Stegostoma tigrinum: one gene and its partner. The protein of the gene in region 2 interacts with the protein of the main gene of each other region in a pairwise test. Links are inferred from orthologs where the notes say so. Each region holds a gene or a part of one and is shown on either strand. Other genes may lie near its edges. The genes, in order: GRAM domain-containing protein 2B and transmembrane protein 43-like.

The links.
Region 1: the proteins of transmembrane protein 43-like (region 2) and GRAM domain-containing protein 2B interact in binary tests that used the Homo sapiens proteins (3 or more experiments, as listed by UniProt). The two-hybrid records come from large-scale screens. The link is inferred for Stegostoma tigrinum from reciprocal best matches to the Homo sapiens genes TMEM43 and GRAMD2B.

What each region holds. Positions count from the first base shown.
Region 1 is NC_081356.1:69,135,440-69,146,296, reverse strand, and holds the start of GRAM domain-containing protein 2B, read left to right. Parts: upstream 1-6,506; 5' UTR 6,507-6,823; coding exon 6,824-6,915; intron 6,916-10,857.
Region 2 is NC_081364.1:2,797,891-2,808,798, reverse strand, and holds the start of transmembrane protein 43-like, read right to left. Parts: upstream 4,575-10,908; 5' UTR 4,455-4,574; coding exon 4,440-4,454; intron 3,580-4,439; coding exon 3,433-3,579; intron 846-3,432; coding exon 711-845; intron 1-710. Other genes in the region: mitochondrial intermembrane space import and assembly protein 40-like, read left to right, coding at 6,163-6,184. UniProt on the Homo sapiens protein: May have an important role in maintaining nuclear envelope structure by organizing protein complexes at the inner nuclear membrane. Required for retaining emerin at the inner nuclear membrane.

The DNA of each region.
Region 1 (10,857 bases), on a different chromosome or scaffold from region 2:
TTAGGGAGACAAAATGCAGACTAGGCAATGACTTTGCAGAACACCTATGTTCTGTCCTCATAAATGACCCCTAACTTTCAGTTGCCTGACATTTAAAGACACCACCATATTACCTGCCAATATTTCTATCTCAGGCCTGCTACAGTCGTCCAGCAAGGCTCAATGTAAGCTGGGAGAACCGCATTTTGTTTTCTGCTTGGGGACCCTATAGCCTTCAAGACTCAATACTGAATTCAATAATTTTAGGGCTTGAATATGTTTTTCCATGCCCCCTACACAACCCCACACACCCCTGGCCCTATCATCACACCATCTGCTTTGATGTCAGCCAGCCCATTTTCACTACTCATGGTCCCCGTTATCATTTTTTCTTTTTCCCTGGCTTAACATTATCCATCCCTTTGTTTGTCTAACTAGTGCTCTCTCTCGCTCTCTCTCTCTCTCTCTCTCTGGGATCTCTCGCCACCTTACACATCCTCCACCACTGTCTTCAGCATATATACCACCTTTTTCAAGCCACTATTAGATCTGATGAAGGGTCACTGCACCTGAACTGTTAACTCCGCTTTCTCTCCACCGATGTTGCCAGTTTCTCCCAAAATTTCTGTTTCCGTCTAGGATGAGGGGATGGTTCTACAACAGGCTGAGTAAATTGGGTTTATATTCATAGAATTTAGAAGAATGAGATGTGATCAGATTGAAACATTAAAGATAATGAAGGGGCTAAACAGGGTATATTCTAAGACATTGTTCCCTAGTCTAAGGATACAAGAAAAAGGGTACAGATTTTGGACAAATCGTCAACCACTTAGAACCAAGATGAGGAGAAACTCCTTTACTTACCTGGTTGAGAAACTTGGAATTCTCTACCCAGAAGACTGTGAATGCTCCATTATTCAATTCATTTAAGGCTTGAATGGACAGGTGTTTGCACTTTTGGAGAATAAAGTGATGAGGAAGAGAAGGTGGGAAGGTGAAATTGAAGCCAAAGATCAGTCCTAGACATACTGGCAAGTATGGCAAGTTTAACAGGCCCTTAGCAAACTATTTTGTAAATTACTGAATAGGTGTATCAACTATATTCTGAGGCTCATATTTTTAGATCATACTGTTATCTCTCCCATCTCCTATAGCTGTCGTATAATTATGAAGAGCATTTCTTCCTGTTATCAGAGTTTTGTGCAGTACCAGTCAGAGAAATGCAGACTAGGAAATAAGGTCAAAACAGAAGAAAAATGTCTTCATACACTCACTCAAAAATAAATTACTTCTGCTGGCAGAAGTGCACTTTGAAAATATTGTGATGCCTCTGTTGGTGAATGGAGCATCTTCCACTTCAGACCCTGAATATTAGCAAACATTTTAAAAATTCATTCATGCAATGTGAGCATTGCTGGTTAGGCCAGCATTTGTTGCCCATCCTTGCTTGTGCATAGGGCAGTTAAGAGTTAACCATATTGCAATGAGTTTGGAGTCACATGTAGGCCAGACCAGGTAAGGATGGCAGATTTCCTCCCCCAAAGAACATTAATGAACCAGATGTGTTTTTGTTACAATTAATGGTGATTACATGATTGCTATTAGGCCAGCTGTTCAGTCCAGAGCTTTTCATTGAGTTCAAATTTCACCATCTCCCATGGCAGAATTCTAGCTGTATGCTAAGACATTAGCCTGGGGCTCTGGTTTGTTAGTCCATTGACATAACACCACCACCACCTTTAAATGTGCAGGAAAGCTCCAATAATGTGCTGAAATATACCATTCGCATTGCTCGTGATACACTTTCCATTCCTTGTACCAGCTATCCCATAATTTCTTTATGAACATTATTAAATGCTAAACAGTAACAATACAGCAGCATATCAGCTTAGTGTGGGGCTTAAACATACAAATGTCTGATTCAGGAACAGAAACAAAGATAGACTTACTTTCCACTTATATTTCATGATCTTGGGACTCGCCGAAGCTCTTTATAGCCGATGGAGTACATTTGATACGCTGTCATTTTTGCAATGTTGGCAAGTAGCAGCTAATGTGCACATAGCCGTCCATAAATAGCAATACAAATCATCAGAGAATCTTTTGTTGTGAGATGGTTTGCGAGTTAAACATTGGTCAGGATACCAGGGACAACCCCATTGCTTTCTTCAAGGTAATATCATGAGATCTTTGACATTCTGTTGCAATAACAGACAGGTGTCAATTTAAGGTCTCCATCAAAAGGCTGCACCTTTGAAAGTGGAGCACTTCGTCAATACTACGCCAACATGCAGCCAAACTTTTATTCTGGAATCAGAGGAGTGGAGTGAGACTTTAGTTCACAATGATCTGGCTGAGAGGCGAGGATTACACAAAGCCTCACTGGAAGGGACTGGGAATGTGTCAGGTATGCTGTCGCTGTGACTCAAGGAAATACTGCTGTAATGATGTTTTTTCTAAACTGAACTGAATGCAGATATCTGCTCCAAATGCAAAGCCTTTGAAATGTAACGTCCCTCATGATAAACCTGAGATTGCAATCATGAGTCAAATCCAGGCCCACGGTATAGCACAGCTATCGTAGACACACCAACACTGGCAATAGCAATTTAATGGCAAAAATAGTCCCATTGCTGCTTCTGGATGCAGTGAAACCCATCTGAAGAAAAGAGCAATGATGCTCACTGGGGATGACCACCAAGAACAAGCACTAGTGTGCTCAGGAATATCAATTTCCCATGCAGAGGTTCTGCTATAACGTATAGTTGTGTACCCGTGCAACATCGTGTAACAGAAAAATCGCACCAATGAAATAATGAGTCCTATGGGAAAAATGGGATTGGGGCAGACAACAACAAAAAAAATCACTCAATATTTGCTCAAAAATCACTCAAAAGCCTAACACAAAGGATAACACAACTTGAATAAATGTTTAGTTCATATCTAATAGTGAAATAAAAGTAAATTTAACATGTTACCTTGAAAAAATGTCAAGTTGACTAGATGGGGACGAAGGTTGTACTGTACCTCTCACAAAAAGCACTTCACAACAAAGCCCACAAATGATCATGTGATGCTGGTGTGGAGACTCTATCGGTGCTAACATTGTTTCACAGGCTTTGTCGTGAAACAGTACAATCATGTGATGCTGACATGTGCTCCTCCACACACCAATGGAATCATGTTATAGCCAACACAAGTTGGCATTTTAAAGACAGCAGGAACTGCAGATGCTGGAGAATCTGACATAACAAGGTGTAGAGCTGGATGAACACAGCAGGCCAAGCAGCATTAGAGGAGCAGGAAAGCTGACATTTCGGGTCTGGACCCTTCTTCAGAAATGGATCTTCTGAAGAAGGGTCCGGACCCGAAACGTCAGCTTTCCTGCTTCTCTAATGTTGCTTGGCCTGCTGTGCTCATCCAGCTCTACGCCTTCTTATTTCATATTTTAGAAACAGTGTTCCCCTATTCATCAATCGCATTATCGCCAATTTGCATTGACAGAACACGCATTATAGCAGAACCAATCTGCCCCGGGTTTCACCGTCATCAAAACAGAAACCACACATCAGGAGCCACACTGTGTTCCAGCCACTAGAGGGCCCAGCAGCTCATTTTAAGCACTATAATTTAACCAATAATTCCATATGTGGCATTACAGAGAGATAGCTATTGCACATTGTGCAAAGGATATGAAGAGAGTCTGCACACACGTAGACGTGTCCACCACTTCACAATGTTTTATGCAGAGGAAGCTGTCAGCTGTTGGTTTTGTACTTTTCCAGATCGGTGGGGAGAAGAGCAAACAGCGATGGAACGAAGTCATATTTACCTTTGATTGCTTTTGAAGAAACTTCTTATTTTGTTTTGGACTTAGAATCCGTTATAGTACAGGGCAAACTTCAGTACACTGAATATTCGGCGATATTGAAGAACCTCTTTGAGCTGCATAAACGATATGACCTTCCAACTTGGCCCCAGCCTTCAATTTTATACAGATACAAACCAAACTGCACGAATGTATAGAAGATAACAAAGTGTGAAGCTGGATGAACACAGCAGGCCAAGCAGCATCTCAGGAGCACCAAAGCTGAAATTTCGGGCCTAGACTCTTCATCAGAGAGGAGGATGGGGTGAGGGTTCTGGAGTAAATAGGGAGAGAGGGGGAGGCGGACGGAAGATGGAGAGAAAACAAGCTAGGTAGAGAGGAGAGTATAGGTGGAGAGGTAGGGAGGGGATAGGTCAGTCCAGGGAAGATGGACAGGTCAAGGAGGCAGGATGAGGTGGTAGGTAGGAAATGGAGGTGCGGCATGAGGTGGGAGGAAGGGATGGGTGAGAGGAAGAACAGGTTAGGGAAGCAGAGACAGGCTGGGCTGGTTTTGGGATGCAGTGGGGGGAGGGGACAAGCTGGGCTGGTTTTGTGATGCAGTGGGGGAAGTGGGGGGGAAGAACTGGGCTGGTTTTGGGATGCAGTAGGGGAAGGGGAGATTTTGAAGCTTATGAAGTCCACGTTGATACCATTGGGCTGCAGGGTTCCCAAGCGGAATATGAGTTGCTGTTCCTGCAACCTTTGGGTGGCATCATTGTGGCACTGCAGGAGGCCCATGATGGACATGTCGTCTGAAGAATGGAAGGCGGAGTTGAAATGGTTTGCGACTGGGAGGTGCAGTTGTTTGTTGCGAAGCGAGCAGAGGTGTTCTGCAAAGCAGTCCCCAAGCCTCCGCTTGGTTTCCCCAATGTAGAGGGTGCCACACCGGGTGCAATGGATACAATATACCATATTGACAGATGTGCAGGTGAACATCTGTTTGATATGGAAGGTCATCCTGGGGCCTGGGATGGGGGTGATGGGGGATGAGGCATGAAGGTGCCGAGTGTGGTGGGGTTGGAGTGGACAAGGGAGTCGCGGAGAGAGTGGTCTCTCCAGAAGGCAGACAAGGATGGGGATGGAAAAATGTCTTGGGTGGTCGGGTCAGATTGTAGATGGCGGAAGTGTCGGAGGATGATACGTTGTATCCGGAGGTTGGTGGGGTGGTATGTGAGGACGAGGGGGATCCTCTGGGGGCGGTTGTGGCGAGGGTGAGGTGTGGGGGATGTGTTGCGGGAAATGCGGGAGACGTGGTCAAGAGCGTTCTCGACCACTGCGGGGGGAAAGTTGCGGTCCTGGAAGAATGTGGACATCTGGGATGTGCGGGAGTGGAATGCCTCATCCTGGGAGCAGATGCGGCAGAGGCAGAGGAATTGGGAATAGGGGATGGAATTTTTGCAGGAGGGTGGGTGGGAGGAGGTGTATTCTAGGTAGCTGTGGGAGTCAGTGGGCTTGAAATGGACATCAGTTTCTAGCTGGTGGCCTGAGATGGAGGCTGAGAGGTCCAGGAAGGTGAGGGATGTGTTGGAGATGGCCCAGGTGAACTTGAGGTTGGGGTGGAGGGTGTTGGTAAAGTGGATGCTTCGCATAAACAACTGCACCTCCCAGTCGCAAACCATTTCAACTCCGCCTCCCATTCTTTAGATGACATGTCCATCATGGGCCTCCTGCAGTGCCACAATGATGCCACCCGAAGGTTGCAGGAACAGCAACTCATATTCCACTTGGGAACCCTGCAGCCCAATGGTATCAACGTGGACTTCATAAGCTTCAAAATCTCCCCTTCCCCCACCGCATCCCAAAGCCAGCCCAGTTCTTCCCCCCTCCCCCCACTGCATCACAAAACCAGCCCTTTCGTTCCCTCCCCCCACTGCATCCCAAAACCAGCCCAGCCTGTCTCTGCTTCCCTAACCTGTTCTTCCTCTCACCCATCCCTTCCTCCCACCTCAAGCCGCACCTCCATTTCCTACCTACCACCTCATCACGCCTCCTGGACCTGTCCATCTTCCCTGGACTGACCTATCCCCTCCCTACCTCCCCACCTATACTCTCCTCTCCACCTATCTTCTTTTCTCTCCATCTTCGGTCCACCTCCCCCTCTCTCCCTGTTTATTCCAGTTCCCTCTCCCCATCCCCCTCTCTGATGAAGGGTCTAGGCCCGAAACGTCAGCTTTTGTGCTCCTGAGATGCTGCTTGGCCTGCTGTGTTCATCCAGCTCCACACTTTGTTATCTTGGATTCTCCAGCATCTGCAGTTCCCATTATCACTGCACAAATGTATAGCTGTTTAAAACAGTAGCAACAGCAGGGCTTAATATCCACGCACAGATAAACCCTATGCCAAATCGTAGGGGTGTCAAAACGTTCCTCTCCGTTCTACTTAATGCATCTTAGCTAAAGAGTGGAGACAGCCCTCAAAGGTTGTGAATTTGTCTGTTTCTTCACCGAGGCTCCAGCATTTTCTCCAAGTATTACCTCATACAGTGTGATCAAAATACCCGGGCACGTTGTGAAGTAATACCCTGTCTAAATAATTGACAATATGTACTTACACCATTGATAGCTGCACGAAATTGGAGGGTTGCTGTCATACACACCCTGAGTGCCTGCAGAGCTAGCAGTTTCGTTTATGATTGGTTGAAATAACAAGGAGGGGTGGATACTACACAATTGGAGGTGTTCCCTCCGGGCGATAGGTGGACTGTTCAGTAAAATCTAAAATAAAAGTTTGTACGCCTGCTTTAAGAAAGTTTGCAACCTATCTGACTAAGTTCTCCTAGTTAGATTAGCAAACAGTTTTTGTTCTCCTTTCGGCTTTCCTCAGGAAAGGCTACCCGTCCGGTGGTGCGATTTTCGAGCATACTCACGTCTGCCTGGAACAAAGAACATCCCTTCCCCCTCTTCCCTGAAGTCTGGGGGAGTGTTATACAGGGGTGAAGCCAGTTTGTAAGTCGAGTAATTCGTAAGAAAGAAGCCAATGACTGAGCAAAGCCAGAATTCTACTCCAGGGGAAGAAGTGAAGTCTACAAGATTTCTTAGTAAAAAAGACTCTAAAAACGTTTCATTTCAGTAAGTATGACGTTTTCCTCCGAAGCATTATTTTAAATTGCAATTGCTGAATATTGAGTGTTGTTTGCAAGTAAAATGTTTGAATCTTAAGCTGCTTTAGTTTAGCTTTTGTATGTTTTACCTATATGCAGACTGTTACTGCCAACTTTAGTTTCAAGTTTAGCTTACTAGGCCTCTAATGCTTGAATGCTAAGTGATTTACCTTTTACAGACAGTATTTTGCTGTCTTGTAGAACAACACATTGTTTCATCATTTGCCCAAATGAACTATTATTGAAAAGGAGTAGCAGATAATGAGTGTTATTTCACTTTTAATTTGAGTTCTGCAGGTTTGTTTACCTAGTTCCTTTTAACTCTACAATATCTAACAGCAATGTTTTGGTTAGATGAAAGCATCTGAAACAAACTATTTTAGATATAGATCTTTAGCAAGCACTTCTTGATCAGCTTTAAGAACAAGAAAATTTCAAGTTTAAGTACTTCTTCTCCAATAAAGGGAATAAACTTTGTTTTCAGTATATCAGTACAGTGCCAGGTGCTTTCAAAAATTTTCATAACTAACATAATTACTTACAGTAATGGTGCACTTAACATTGTCACCTCTGAATCCATTATTCTTCACAACAGTAGAAAGTAATTCCAATATTGCCTATTGATTTGAATCTGACCCACCACTTGGAGGCTACAATGCATCAATTGAGCTTGACATCACAAGAAATGATTGTGTGGGATGGGGGTTATGCAGAAAAGAAGACTTTGTTTGATCAGTGCACAGTTTTTCTAATCCCAAGATATCCTGAAGCACTTCCCAGTCTGTGAAATGCCATTGTAGTAAAGCTGCCAGTTGGTGGAAAGCAAAGTCCCAAGCAGCAAAATAAAATTTTATTCTATCATTGAATAGAGTAGCACAGAAGACTGTCAGCCCATTGACTAACACTATAGCTCATTTTTTAAAAAAAAACAGTTCAATTAACCTCACTTTGTTTAATTGTTGACTGAGGAATAAATATGTGCCACAACACTGGAGAGAATGTGCCTGATGCCCATCAAAATATTGATGACACCTTTCCATTTATCTGTGGAGGCAGACCAGAAGACTGTGCCTCTACCAGTGCATTAATATTCAGTGATGCATTGCTATGTCCACAAAGATTTTTGTGCTGTAATTTCTGGAGTGGACCCTGAATGCATAAACCTCTGCCTCAGTCTGTTTCCAGTAGGGTTTAGCTCAAAGTTAGGAGAGCAACCAGACAAGCTTCACTAGAGATACAATTACATCACCTGAATCAGGTCACGTTCTCTACATCCTGCTCTGTGGAAAATATAGAGACATCCTATTCCAGCTACTGGGTCACCACAACTATCTTGACTGTTGCCCAGTTGTTCAACTTCACATCAGTTATGTCTGTACCATGTTTTGCTGCAGCACCTTGAATAGGCTTGCCCCTGTCTGTTCACCCCCTGCAACCTGTGCTGGTAGCCCATTTCTGACGACTAGTCCAGCACTACTTCCAGCAGAGTATGCTGTCAGTGCTTTCAATCTTGTTTCTCCCTTTCTTTTTCTCCTTTCTCTTCCCACCCTGCCATTCTGTCACTATGCTCAAAGCATAATGCATGGTTGTCTCAATGCTCCGACATCCAAGTCAGTCTTAACCTACTTGTTCTCTCTCTCTCTCTCGCTCGTTTGTTTATCCTACCCGGTCCCAATTTAATTTTATCCATTTTCCTTTCACTAATGCCCACTTGCAGCTCCACATTCCCCACCCCCACACTCATCCAGTCATCTTCTTGAATCACTTTGGTTGTAGGGAGTTTTTAATCCAGTGATAAGAAGGGATAGTGAAATAATCCAAGTCAGGATGGTGCAAGGGTCAGAGATAAACTTGCAGTGATAGTGTTCTAATGCATCTATGGTCTTCTACTTTCTAAGTAGAGGTAGTTACGAGCTTGAAAGACAGTATAAGAGGAGCCTTGTTGAGTTACAGAACACCCAGTGCAGAAACAGACCCTTCGGTCCAATTTGGTCATGTCAACCAAGTTTTCCCAAATTAAACTAGTCCCACTTACCTGTGTTTGGCCTGTATCCACCTAAACCTCTCCTATTCACGTACTTGTTCAAATGCCTTTTAAATGTTGTTGTAATTGTGTTGGCTGCGAGCACTTGAAACCAAAAGTGCTGGGGATCATAGGGGACCAGGCAGCATCCATGGAAGGAGAGTAAGCTAATGCTTGAAGACTAGGTGACTCTTCTTCAGAGCTGAGGTGAATTGTGGATTGGACAGCGTTTAAGCAATAGTGAATTGTCCCCTCCACACTTCACCTTGAGACAATTTTAAGTAATCATCTATTGCAAGCAAAACAGAACACATCATAATCAAAACATGAAGCATTAACAGAAATAGCTGGAAAATCTCAGCATGCCTGGCATCATCTAGAGAGAGAAATCTGAGTTAACATTTCAGGTCCACTGACCCTTCTGAAACCCAAACAAATCTTTAACAAATGCTTGTGCTGTACAGAAACTCAAACTACTTTTGAACAGCTTTATATACAATGATGCTTCAGTGCAGTGAAATCTCAAGGCTCCAGTTCCTGAATTAGGATCACCGAGTTTGACTTTTTTGTTGTTGTTGAACTGAAGCTAAGTAATTGCTGCCCCTGTGTTCAGACCCTGGCTTTGTAAAATGGGAAATGCAAGAATAACAACTACTTGGATTGGTGTGACTGAGGGTAATTGATCTCTCCATGTGGATTTTGTGTTGTTGATTTATTTTCTATTGATTTAACTTTCCTGTTGGCTCCTTTTGTTCAATAATGGAAAGTAAGATGATACAAAATCTTTATAACATTGAAAGGAGGCAGTATATTTCCAGAGGGGAAAAAGTAAGAAAAAAATGCGAAAACTGTAGGAGGTGCAATATGGGAGAGAGAGAGATAATGGGAACTGCAGATGCTGGAGATTCCAAGATAATAAAATGTGGGGCTGGATGAACACAGCAGGCCAAGCAGCATCTCAGGAGCACAAAAGCTGACGTTTCGGGCCTAGACCCTTCATCAGAGAGGGGGATGGGGGGAGGGAAAAGGTGCAATATGGACCTGTTCATGTATATTGGCAAGATGCAGAGGATTTTCAACTGTGATTTCTGTTTGGATATTGTTCCTTTCACGGAATGAAAAATGACTAGTATATTAAAAATTTCTACATAGTTCGAGATTTTGACCTGCTAATGTCCTGTTGTTATCACAAAGGGTCTCACAAAAAGACTGCATATTCGATAGAAGCTTAATACACTAGTTCTATGATGTACTGTGTAAAAGATTTGGGTACAGATCCTTTGGTAGATAATCCTTTTATACAGGCCACTAAAAAATAAGAATTAGCAAACATAACCGTGTTATGGTGTTTAATAATAGCAGCAGGTTGATAGGGGTGTGGACACAGACATGGCCTTTTGGTATCACACAGACTGGATTGTTCCTGTAGAATGACGGACTTTTCAGCTGCATTTGGCAATGAGAATATGAACTCGGTAACATCCCATATGTGTAGCCACTTCCCATTTCCTTCTAGGAACAATATTTGGAAATTAAGTAACTCTCATTAGGGTCAGGAAAGTAGAATGAAAGCGCTTCGAATACAAAGATATTAAATTTGGAGCTTTGAAATAGATTTGGGAGAAGAGCGTTGAAAGTTTGAGCATTTGTTGGGGATGCTTTGTGTGTACTTAAATGCTTGAAATGGGAAATACCAAACTTTTTAAAAGATCAAGCAGTGACCTTTTTTTTAATGTTGTGTGGCTGGATTAGAGCAACGCTGGGTCTAATTTATCCCGAATCTTGTGAAATCATGACAAACAATAAAACCACTGCATAGGTCTGATGTATGAACAAAGAATTCAAAAACACTAAGTTAATCTCTCAGCTGAACTCTTGCATACACTG
Region 2 (10,908 bases):
CCTCTAAGTGTTGTTCAACATGGAGGAGAGACTGATCCATCGGCTGAGGGAGGATGGTATGTGGTAATTAGCAGGAGGTTTCCTTGCCCATGTTTAACCGTCCCCCAACCGGGTCTGACCTCTCAGTGCGACAGGACATTTCCAGGGATGGTGATGCTGGTATCTGGGACACTGTTTGTAAGGTATGATTCTGTGAATATGAGAGAGCTCTCCTAGTTGTACTAGCACCAGTATCTCAGTAAGGAGGACACTGTAGGGTCGACAGGGCTGTTTCTGCCATTATCTTAGGTCAATGCCAGGTGATCTGTCACATTTAATATTTTTTCCTTTCTAGCAATTGACACAACTGAGTGGCTTGCAAGGCCATTTCATAGGGTTAAGAGTCAACCACACTGCTGTGGATCTGAAGTCCCATGTGGGCCAGGGTAAGGATGGCATATTTCTTCCTCAAAGGATACTAATAGACTCAGACAGGATTTTACAACAATCAACAATGGTTACATGGTCATCAATATATTTATAATTACAGGTTTTCTGTTTAATTGATCAAGTTCTATCATTTGTCGGGGTGGGATTTGAACCCTGGTGCCCAGAACATTAGCTGGCGTTTACCCATGCAGTGATAATACCATTAGGCCATCACCTCCATCTATTTGACCCCATTACCTCAGGAAACTATTTATTTTCAAGACAGGATATTCCTCACTCACCTGCAATGTCAAGAGGGAGCCAGAGAGATGCACAAGTTTCCCATCATTTTGAGGTAAAGGAGTGAAGACATCACTTAAGGACACCACCAGGGAAAGACCTTCATCCAGGGAGTTCTGAGTTCTGACACATCTTCCCTGCACAAGAAGGAGTGTTACAGTTGGCAAACATTGATAAGTGCTATGGAGTGAAAATTAGACAAAAGAAAGCTCATTCACCACAGCAGCTGAAGACAGCAACATATATTAACAATTAATTCACAGGACATGGGTGTGACTAGCTGGACACCCCAGTGTGGCAGTCTCTTGGCCAAGCATGATCTGGAGCCAGGGCCCAGTGTGGACTGGAGGTGCCAGTGTGGGCTGGGTGGGAAGATGGTTGTTCTGGGCTTTTACTTCTCTGTTTTCTAAGACGGAGTTACTAAAGAATCTGAACCTCGGTACCTTTGTACCTAAGGTGGTGCTGTAAGTGGCGACACATAAACTGATCACTGTACTCATTTGAGTACATGACAATAGAGTTAACTCAATTCAATTCAACATTTATTGTCCGTCCGTAGTTGCTCTCTTGAGAAGGTGGGGATGAGATGCCTTCAAGAGCCACTGCAGTCCATGTGCTGTGAGTTGACCCACAATGTCCCTTAGGGAGGGAATTCCAGGATTTTGGCACAGTGGCACTGAAGGAACGGGGATATATTTCCAAGTCAGGATGGTGAGGGGCTTGGAGGGGAACTTGCAGGGGATGGTGTTCCCACATACGGGGGTCACTGATTTACAAACACTCCTACTTACAAACACAATTCCATAAAGGGAGAAATTTTATACACCCAACACATGAACACTTCCTGAATTTAGGAACAGTTCCTCTACACTGTCCTTCACTGTGCTCCAATCTGGGTACAAGTCAGTTTGTGAATGGGGTCAGGACTGGGACCCATTCCCAACCCAGCGAGTGCCTGCATGTGCTACCGTTTTCTTTCCAGATGGTAACTGTTATGGTTTTAGGAGATGTTGTCAGAGGAGCCTTGTAAATAAACCTGCTTTTATAGAACTACATCAGCACAATATAAAATGTTCCAAGACATTTCACAAGAACGTAGATTAGAGAATAACCGTCACCCAGCAACATAAAAATGCAGCATTAGTGACCAAAATCTCAAACAGACCGGCATCTTAAAGGAGGATAGAGAGATAAAGAAAGAGACAATTAGAGAGGTTTATGGAGGGAATTCTAGAGTGTTGAGTCCAGACAGCTGTCGGTATAGCATTCAATGGCGGAGGGATTAAAATCACAGATACTCCAGGGATTAGAATTGGAGCGAGGCAGAGATATCGGAGGATTTGGGGACTGGAAGAGGTTACAGCAAGATGTAAAGTGCGAGTCTATGTTGGGTTCAAACAAGTGGTTGATGATTTTTTCAATGGAATTACCGTCAGACTGTGAGCAAAACGTTCATCAACAACACACATGGGCAATGTTCCTGGTAACTGCACCAAGCAGAATATTCTGTGTCACTGCCCTACCACGCTGCTGTGCCCAGTTTACAGGGAATACTAGTGAGCGGTAACCGGGACATGACAACATCTAGAAGAACTCAGATAGCCAGAGGAAGGAAGATGGTGTTATTTCAAGGGACTTCAACATTCTTAAGCACAAGATCACTTTTTGAGTTTTAGTGCAAACAAGAATCTACCTGAAAGAAAATAATGCATTTATTTTTAGTATATCTGATTATTCATTTTGTCTTCTACATATAGGCTCAGTATGTTATCCTCCTCTTTGAGTAGCCAAATTATAATTTGAACTAGCTAGTTCTATACAGTCCATCACACGGGCATTTGTGAGGCAGGTGAGATACTTGGACTTGATTATCTGTATTTGGGAGAATGCTGTCTCAGAGGGATGTGGTACCAAAGCTTTCATTGTAAAACCACAGGATAATAGCAGTGTGTATTTTTCTCTGTTTACAAATCTCCAAACATCACTGTCCCTTGTTCCAGCTTCCAGCTCAATATCATTTGGCACAGTTAATTATGTCCACTTCAATACCACGGACTTGTAAATCAAATACCTAATGGAATCTGATAGCCAGCCCAACAACGTCTACTTGAAGGAAGAGACCGGAGGGAGACATGACCGTTCATTCCAATGCATCTAATTCCTGAAATTAGCCTGTAGAAATGATCCCACATTGCTAAGTCTCTATCCTCTCTGTGCAGTTCACAGTTCAGCTCATTCAGCTTTGATCTTTTATCTGTAAGGAACATGAAGCCAAGTAACGACACATTGGCAGCTCACTGCACACCTCATTCCTTCTTGAGTGTTGTTAGAGCTGCATCCATCCAGGCAAGTGGGGAGTATTCCATCACACTCCTGACTTGTGCCTTTAGATGGTTAGATGTGTTTTGGGGAGTCAGGAGGGGAGTTACACACCGGTGTATTCCTAGCCTCTGACCTGCTCTTGTAGCCACGTTGTTTACGTTTTGTTGTGTATCAAATCCAGTTAAGTTTCACATCAACGTTCCTCATCATGCATTTTACAAAAACTATCACCTCAGATTCTTCTGTTTGCCCAGGTCCCTGATGTGGGATTTGAACCCATGAACTTCTGATTCAGAAATGAGCGCGAGCTACCCACTGAGCAACAGACACTGATACCACAAATTGAACAGGATAACTGATGCCTGCCCAGAAAACAGCATGTAATCCAACCTCTGCACCTACCTCATTGGTGAAGAGGAGGTAGAAGGACAAGGTGAAGATAAGCACTCCCACCACCATTCCCCCCATTGTCTCCCCAAGACGTTCCAGGAATCCCTGCTTCTTCTGATTTGTGACCTTCACGTGTTCATCCCTGCTGCCTCCTGGTTGCTGCAAAACCAGAAGGGACAAGCTTTCATGAATCTTTAAGTACCATCTTAAAAGCGAAATGAAGACAGATGAACTTTGTAAACATTTTCACGGGATGTGGAATAGTATTGGCTAGGCTGGCCATCTCTAAATTCCCTTCAAAATGTTGTCTGCCTTCATTAACTGCTGCAGGCCATTCAGTACAGGCACACCCAAAAACAGAAGGTGTTTAAACAACAGTGACACAATTTTTGATGTTGGGCTGTGGGCATTCCTGGTCAGACTGACATTTATTGCCCATTCATTTTACCCAGAACCAGTATAATTGAGCTGACTGACTTAGCTGAGGATCTTACACAGCATTTAAAATATAATCTTGACAAATGGGTCTGAAGTCATTTACACATCGTCAGTGACATCTCACTAACCAAGACTTGCACCCTCCCACCCATTATGTTTTGATTATAGTGCAGCATCATTTTGATTTGCTCTGGCACTGGCCAACAATTGTGCTGATTAGAAACAAAAAAAACAGCAACTGATGGAGAGTTGTTGGCTTCAGTCCAGGGCCATAGTAGACATAGGGAAGGGTTGGTGGTTCTGATTGGGGGGGGGGGGGGGGGGGGAGGTAGGGAGAAGGACTCTGGTTAGCCCCTTTGATTTTACAAGAAGAGATATCAGATCTCTTGCAAATATGCCAGGGAGATGGGAACTTTGTCTTCCTCAGGTTCAAAGCTGTGCCACGTGGATCTGGGCTGTCAGAATATAGAAGGGAACTCCCTTCCCCAGGAATATCTTCAGATGATAATGTGTCCAACGCCAATTCAGATTAATCTTCACCTGCACGTTGACAAGGCTGTTGTTTGTGGTTCTGAACTTACATTAGGCCTCACCATGGTTTCCCTGCCAATAACACACACTGAGGGGGGAGACCACAGTCAGCTCTAGCCCCTCTCACACCTTCACTTCCGGCTTCAAGGGGGATACATTCTGCGCCTGCGCACTCCTGAGGGACGGACCTACTCCCGTGAAGCTTGCCGGGAGATGGTGTCGACTCCCCAGGAATGCTGGGGATTGTAGTCTTACCTACCGGAGGATGCTGGGTGGTGGCCTCCCCGGGCTCCGCCTGGGAAGGTTAGGACCCTCCCGCAAGCATGCTGGGAGCTGTAGTTTTCTTCAGCTTGAACCTGGTCCCCAGGGAAAATGAAACCCCAGTATATAAATGACTTTATTCACCTGCATCCACTCATATTGAGGTGATTGCACAATTGTACTGAACATGGCCACACAAAATTTCAAGACCATCTTAGCTTGGAGCAGGGACAGCCCCTGACTTATACTGTCAAAACTTCTCAAAACTCACTTATACTGCCATTCTATAAGTTCATACTCATCCAATTGTGTCTTTCACTGCACTTTCCTGCTGGTCAATTCTACAGATTAATCACATGTTATTACATATTGTACAATATTTGAGCCTGTGGATTCTATAGATTAAAATAAAACAATGAATTACAAATGCTGGAAATCTAAAACAAAAATAGAAATTGCTGGAGAAACTCAGTAGGACTGACAGCAACTGTGGGAAGAAAGCACAGGGTCCAGAGACTCTTCATCAGAGCTGGTATGAGCCAGAAAAATGTGATATTTATGCTGAAGCTGAAGCTGGGAATCTGAAGGGGAGATGAGGGCGGATTGGTGGAGACGGAGCCCAGAGACAGAGATATGAAAGAGCTAGGTAGACAGGGAAATTACGGGTAGCAGGCCAGAATAGAAAAAAAACTGAATATGTGACAATGAGAGCTAAGAGTAGGAGAAAATCGGTGAGCTGTACAGAATGTAACCTAGTCTGCGTCACACAAACCGCTTTGCAGAAAACCAAGCTCTGTCTGCAAAAATGATCCTAAGCTTTCTGTTGCCTGCCACTTCAACACACCGCTGTGTTCTCATGCCAAAATTTCTGTTGCAGGCTTGCTGTAGAGTTCCAGCCAACCTCAATGCAAGGTCAAAGAACATCTTACTTTCCACTCGGGGATCTTGTGGCCTCTAGAACTCAACAATGAGTTCAATAACCTTAAGAGCCTAATACAGTCCGTCCATGCTTTTTACCCACAGCCACACCTGATTCTCTCAATGACCACAATCACCCATTCTCACAAACTCGTTGGTCCATTATAACTTAATAAATATTGTTTATTCAGTAGGTGGATGTGATGGATATTATACATTCCATAGGGTGGGTATTATGGACAATATACATTCCATAGGGTGGGTTTACGGAAAATATAGATTCTACAGGGTAGGTATTGTGGACATTATACATTCTAATGGATTAGTATGACGGACATTGTGCATTCTATAGGGTGTATGTTATAGATTCCATAGGGTAGGTGCTTTGGGCCGTCTCTGCGGCTTTAAATTGGGCCCCCGGTTCTGGCCCCGCCCTCTCGCTGTGATTGGTTCCTGCCTGTGGGTCAGAGGTCAGGCCGGGAGCACGGGCCGGAGACTGAGAAACACATTTCTTCCCCACCCCCCCGGACACGAACCCTCACACAGAGAGAGAGAGAGAGAGAGAGACAGAGAGAGAGACAGAGAGAGAGAGAGATGTCCCACTGCCGGCGGCACGGTGAGGGGCCGGGGGGGTGGGGAACGGAGGGTCAGGTGTGAGGGTGAGGGGGTGAGGGGGGTGAGGAGGGGGGTGGGGGAGGGGGGTGAGGAGGGGGTGAGGAGGGGGGTGGGTGAGGAGGGGGGTGGGTGAGGGGGTGGGGGAACGGAGGGTCAGGTGTGAGGGTGAGGAGGGGGTGAGGAGGGGGGTGGGTGAGGGGGTGAGGGGGGTGAGGAGGGGAGGGGGGTGAGGAGGGGGGTAGGGGAGGGGGGTGAGGAGGGGGGTGGGGGAGGGGGGTGGGTGAGGGGGTGGGGGTGGGGGAGGGGGGTGGGTGAGGGGGTGGGGGGGGTGAGGAGGGGGGTGGGTGAGGGGGGTGAGGAGGGGGGTGGGTGAGGGGGGTGAGGAGGGGGTGGGGGGGGTGGGGGGGGTGAGGGGGGTGAGGAGTGGGGGGGGTGAGGGGGGTGAGGAGGGGGGTGGGTGAGGGGGTGAGGGGGGTGGGTGAGGGGGTGAGGGGGGTGGGTGAGGAGGGGGGTGGGTGAGGAGGGGGGTGGGTGAGGGGGGTGGGTGGGGTGAGGGGGGTGGGTGAGGGGGGTGGGTGAGGTGAGGGGGGTGGGTGAGGGGGGTGGGTGAGGGGGGTGGGTGAGGTGAGGGGGGTGGGTGAGGGGGGTGGGGAGGGGGGGGGGGTGAGGAGGGGGGGGGGTGAGGAGGGGGGGAGGGTGAGGAGGGGTGTGAGGAGGGGGGGAGGGTGAGGGGGGTGGGTGAGGAGGGGGGGAGGGGGAGGGGGGGAGGGTGAGGGGGGTGGGTGAGGGGGGTGAGGAGGGGGGTGGGTGAGGGGGGTGGGTGAGGGGGGTGGGTGAGGGGGGTGAGGAGGGGGGGTGGGTGAGGGGGTGGGGGGGGTGGGGTGGGTGAGGGGGGTGAGGGGTGGGGTGGGTGAGGGGGGTGGGGTGGGTGAGGGGGGGTGAGGAGGTGGGGTGGGTGAGGGGGTTGAGGAGGTGGGGTGGGTGAGGGGGTTGAGGAGGTGAGGGGGTTGAGGAGGTGGGGTGGGTGAGGGGGGTGAGGAGGTGGGGTGGGTGAGGAGGGGGGTGAGGAGGTGGGGTGGGTGAGGAGGTGGGGTGGGTGAGGAGGGGGGTGAGGAGGTGGGGTGGGTGAGGAGGTGGGGTGGGTGAGGAGGGGGGTGAGGAGGTGGGGTGGGTGAGGAGGTGGGGTGGGTGAGGGGGTGGGGGGGGGTGAGGGGGTGAGGAGGGGGGTGGGTGAGGGGGTGGGGGGGGTGAGGAGGGGGGTGGGTGAGGGGGTGGGGGGGGTGAGGGGGGTGAGGAGGGGGGTGGGTGAGGGGGTGGGGGGGGTGAGGGGGGTGAGGAGGGGGGTGGGTGAGGGGGTGGGGGGGGTGAGGGGGGTGAGGAGGGGGGTGGGTGAGGGGGTGGGTGAGGGGGTGAGGGGGGTGAGGGGGTGGGGGGGGGGTGAGGGGGGTGGGGGGGGTGAGGGGGGTGGGAGGGGGGTGGGTGAGGGGGGTGGGTGAGGGGGTGGGTGAGGGGGTGGGTGAGGGGGTGAGGGGGGTGAGGAGGGGGGTGGGTGAGGGGGTGGGGGGGGTGAGGGGGGTGGGTGAGGGGGGTGAGGAGGGGGGGTGGGTGAGGGGGGTGAGGGGTGGGGTGGGTGAGGGGGGTGGGGTGGGTGAGGTGGGTGAGGGGGTGGGGTGGGGTGGGTGAGGGGGTGGGGTGGGGTGGGTGAGGGGGGTGAAGAGGGGGGTGAGGAGGTGGGGTGGGTGAGGGGGGTGAGGAGGTGGGGTGGGTGAGGGGGGTGAGGAGGTGGGGGGGGTGAGGGGGTTGAGGAGGTGGGGGGGGTGAGGGGGTTGAGGAGGTGGGGTGGGTGAGGGGGTTGAGGAGGTGAGGGGGTTGAGGAGGTGGGGTTGAGGAGGTGGGGTGGGTGAGGGGGTTGAGGAGGTGAGGGGGTTGAGGAGGTGGGGTTGAGGAGGGGGGTGAGGAGGTGGGGTGGGTGAGGAGGTGGGGTGGGTGAGGGGGGTGAGGAGGGGGGGTGGGTGAGGGGGGTGAGGAGGGGGGTGGGTGAGGGGGGTGAGGAGGGGGGTGGGTGAGGGGGGGTGAGGGGGGGTGAGGAGGGGGGGGTGAGGGGGGTGAGGAGGTGGGGTGGGTGAGGGGGGTGAGGAGGTGGGGTGGGTGAGGGGGGTGAGGAGGTGGGGTGGGTGAGGGGGTTGAGGAGGTGGGGTGGGTGAGGGGGTGAGGAGGGGGGTGAGGAGGTGGGGTGGGTGAGGAGGTGGGGTGGGTGAGGGGGGTGAGGAGGTGGGGTGGGTGAGGGGGGTGAGGAGGTGGGGTGGGTGAGGAGGTGGGGTGGGTGAGGGGGTGGGGTGGGTGAGGGGGGTGAGGAGGTGGGGTGGGTGAGGGGGGTGAGGAGGTGGGGTGGGTGAGGGGGGTGAGGAGGTGGGGTGGGTGAGGGGGGTGAGGAGGTGAGGGGGGTGAGGAGGTGGGGTGGGTGAGGGGGGTGAGGAGGTGGGATGTGTGAGGGGTGGGTGAGGGGGGTGAGGAGGTGGGGTGGGTGAGCGGGAGGTGGGGTGGGTGAGCGGGGGGTGAGGGGGGTGAGGAGGTGGGGGGGTGAGGGGGGTGAGGAGGTGGGGGGGTGAGGGGGGTGAGGAGGTGGGGGGGTGAGGGGGGTGAGGAGGTGGGGGGGTGAGGGGGGTGAGGAGGTGGGGGGGTGAGGAGGTGGGGGGGTGAGGGGGGTGAGGAGGTGGGGGGGTGAGGGGGGTGAGGAGGTGGGGGGGGTGAGGGGGGTGAGGAGGTGGGGAGTGAGGGGGGTGAGGAGGTGGGGGGGTGAGGGGTGTGAGGAGGGGGGGTGAGGGGTGTGAGGAGGGGGGGGTGAGGGGGGTGAGGAGGGGGGGGTGAGGAGGTGGGGGGGTGGGGGGGGTGAGGAGGTGGGGGGGTGAGGGGGGGGTGAGGAGGGGGGGTGAGGGGGGTGGGTGAGTGGGGTGGGGTGAGGTGGGTGAGGAGGTGGGGGGGTGAGGGGGTTGAGGAGGGGTGAGGAGGGGGGGTGAGGAGGGGGGGGTGTGGAGGGGGGGGTGAGGGGGGTGGGTGAGGAGGGGGGTGAGGGGGGTGGGTGAGGAGGGGGGGGTGAGGAGGGGGGGGTGAGGGGGGTGGGTGAGGAGGGGGGGTTGAGGGGGGTGGGTGAGGAGGGGGGGTGAGGGGGGGGGGTGAGGGGGTGGGGTGGGTGAGGGGGGTGAGGGGGGGGGGTGAGGGGGTGGGGTGGGTGAGGGGGGTGAGGAGGGGGGTGAGGAGGTGGGGTGGGTGAGGGGGGGTGGGTGAGGAGGGGTGGGTGAGGAGGGGGGGGTGAGGGGGGTGGGTGAGGGGGGTGAGTGAGGAGGGGGGGTGAGGAGGGGGGGGTGAGGGGGGTGGGTGAGGTGGGTGAGGGCGTGGGGTGGGTGAGGGGAGTGAGGAGGTGGGGTGGGTGAGGGGGGTGGGGTGGGTGAGGGGGGTGGGGTGGGTGAGGCGTTGGGGGGGTGAGGAGGTGGGGTGGGTGAGCGGGGTGAGGAGGGGGATGAGGAGGTGGGGTGGGTGAGGGGGGTGAGGAGGTGGGGTGGGTGAGGTGGGTGAGGGGGGTGAGGAGGTGGGGTGGGTGAGGTGGGTGAGGAGGTGGGGTGGGTGAGGTGGGTGAGGAGGTGGGGTGGGTGAGGGGGGTGAGGAGGTGGGGTGGGTGAGGGGCATTAGGAGGTGGGGTGGGTGAGGGGGGTGAGGAGGTGAGGTGGGTGAGGAGGGGGGGTGAGGAGGTGAGGTGGGGGGGTGAGGAGGTGGGTTGGGGTGGGGTGGGGGGGTGAGGGGGTGGGGTGGGGTGGGGGGGGTGAGGGGGTGGGGTGGGGGGGTGAGGAGGTGAGGTGGGGTGGGGGGGTGAGGAGGTGAGGTGGGGTGGGGGGGTGAGGAGGTGAGGTGGGGTGGGGGGGTGAGGAGGTGAGGTGGGGTGGGGTGGGGGGGTGAGGAGGTGGGGTGGGGTGGGGTGGGGGGGTGAGGAGGTGAGGTGGGGTGGGGGGGTGAGGTGGGGGGGTGAGGAGGTGGGGTGGGGGGGTGAGGAGGTGGGGTGGGGGGGTGAGGAGGTGGGGTGGGGGGGTGAGGAGGTGGGGGGGTGAGGAGGTGAGGTGGGGGGGTGAGGAGGTGGGGTGGGGGGGTGAGGAGGTGGGGTGGGGTGGGGGGGTGAGGAGGTGGGGTGGGAGGGTGAGGAGGTGGGGTGGGAGGGTGAGGAGGTGGGGTGGGGTGGGGGGGTGAGGAGGTGGGGTGGGGGGTGAGGAGGTGGGGTGGGGTGGGGGGTGAGGAGGTGGGGTGGGGTGGGGGGGTGAGGAGGTGGGGTGGGGTGGGGGGGGTGAGGAGGTGGGGTGGGGGGGGTGAGGAGGTGGGGTGGGGGTGTGAGGATTTGGGGTGGGGGGTGAGGAGGTGGGGTGGGGTGGGGGGGTGAGGAGGTGGGGTGGGGTGGGGGGGGTGAGGAGGTGGGGTGGGGGGGTGAGGAGAGGAGGTGGGGTGGGGTGGGGGGGGTGAGGAGAGGAGGTGGGGTGGGGTGGGGGGGTGAGGAGGTGGGGTGGGGTGGGGGGGTGAGGAGGTGGGGTGGGGGGTGAGGAGAGGAGGTGGGGTGGGGTGGGGGGGTGAGGAGGTGGGGTGGGGGGGTGAGGAGAGGAGGTGGGGTGGGGTGGGGGGGTGAGGAGGTGGGGTGGGGGGGTGAGGAGAGGAGGTGGGGTGGGGGGGTGAGGAGAGGAGGTGGGG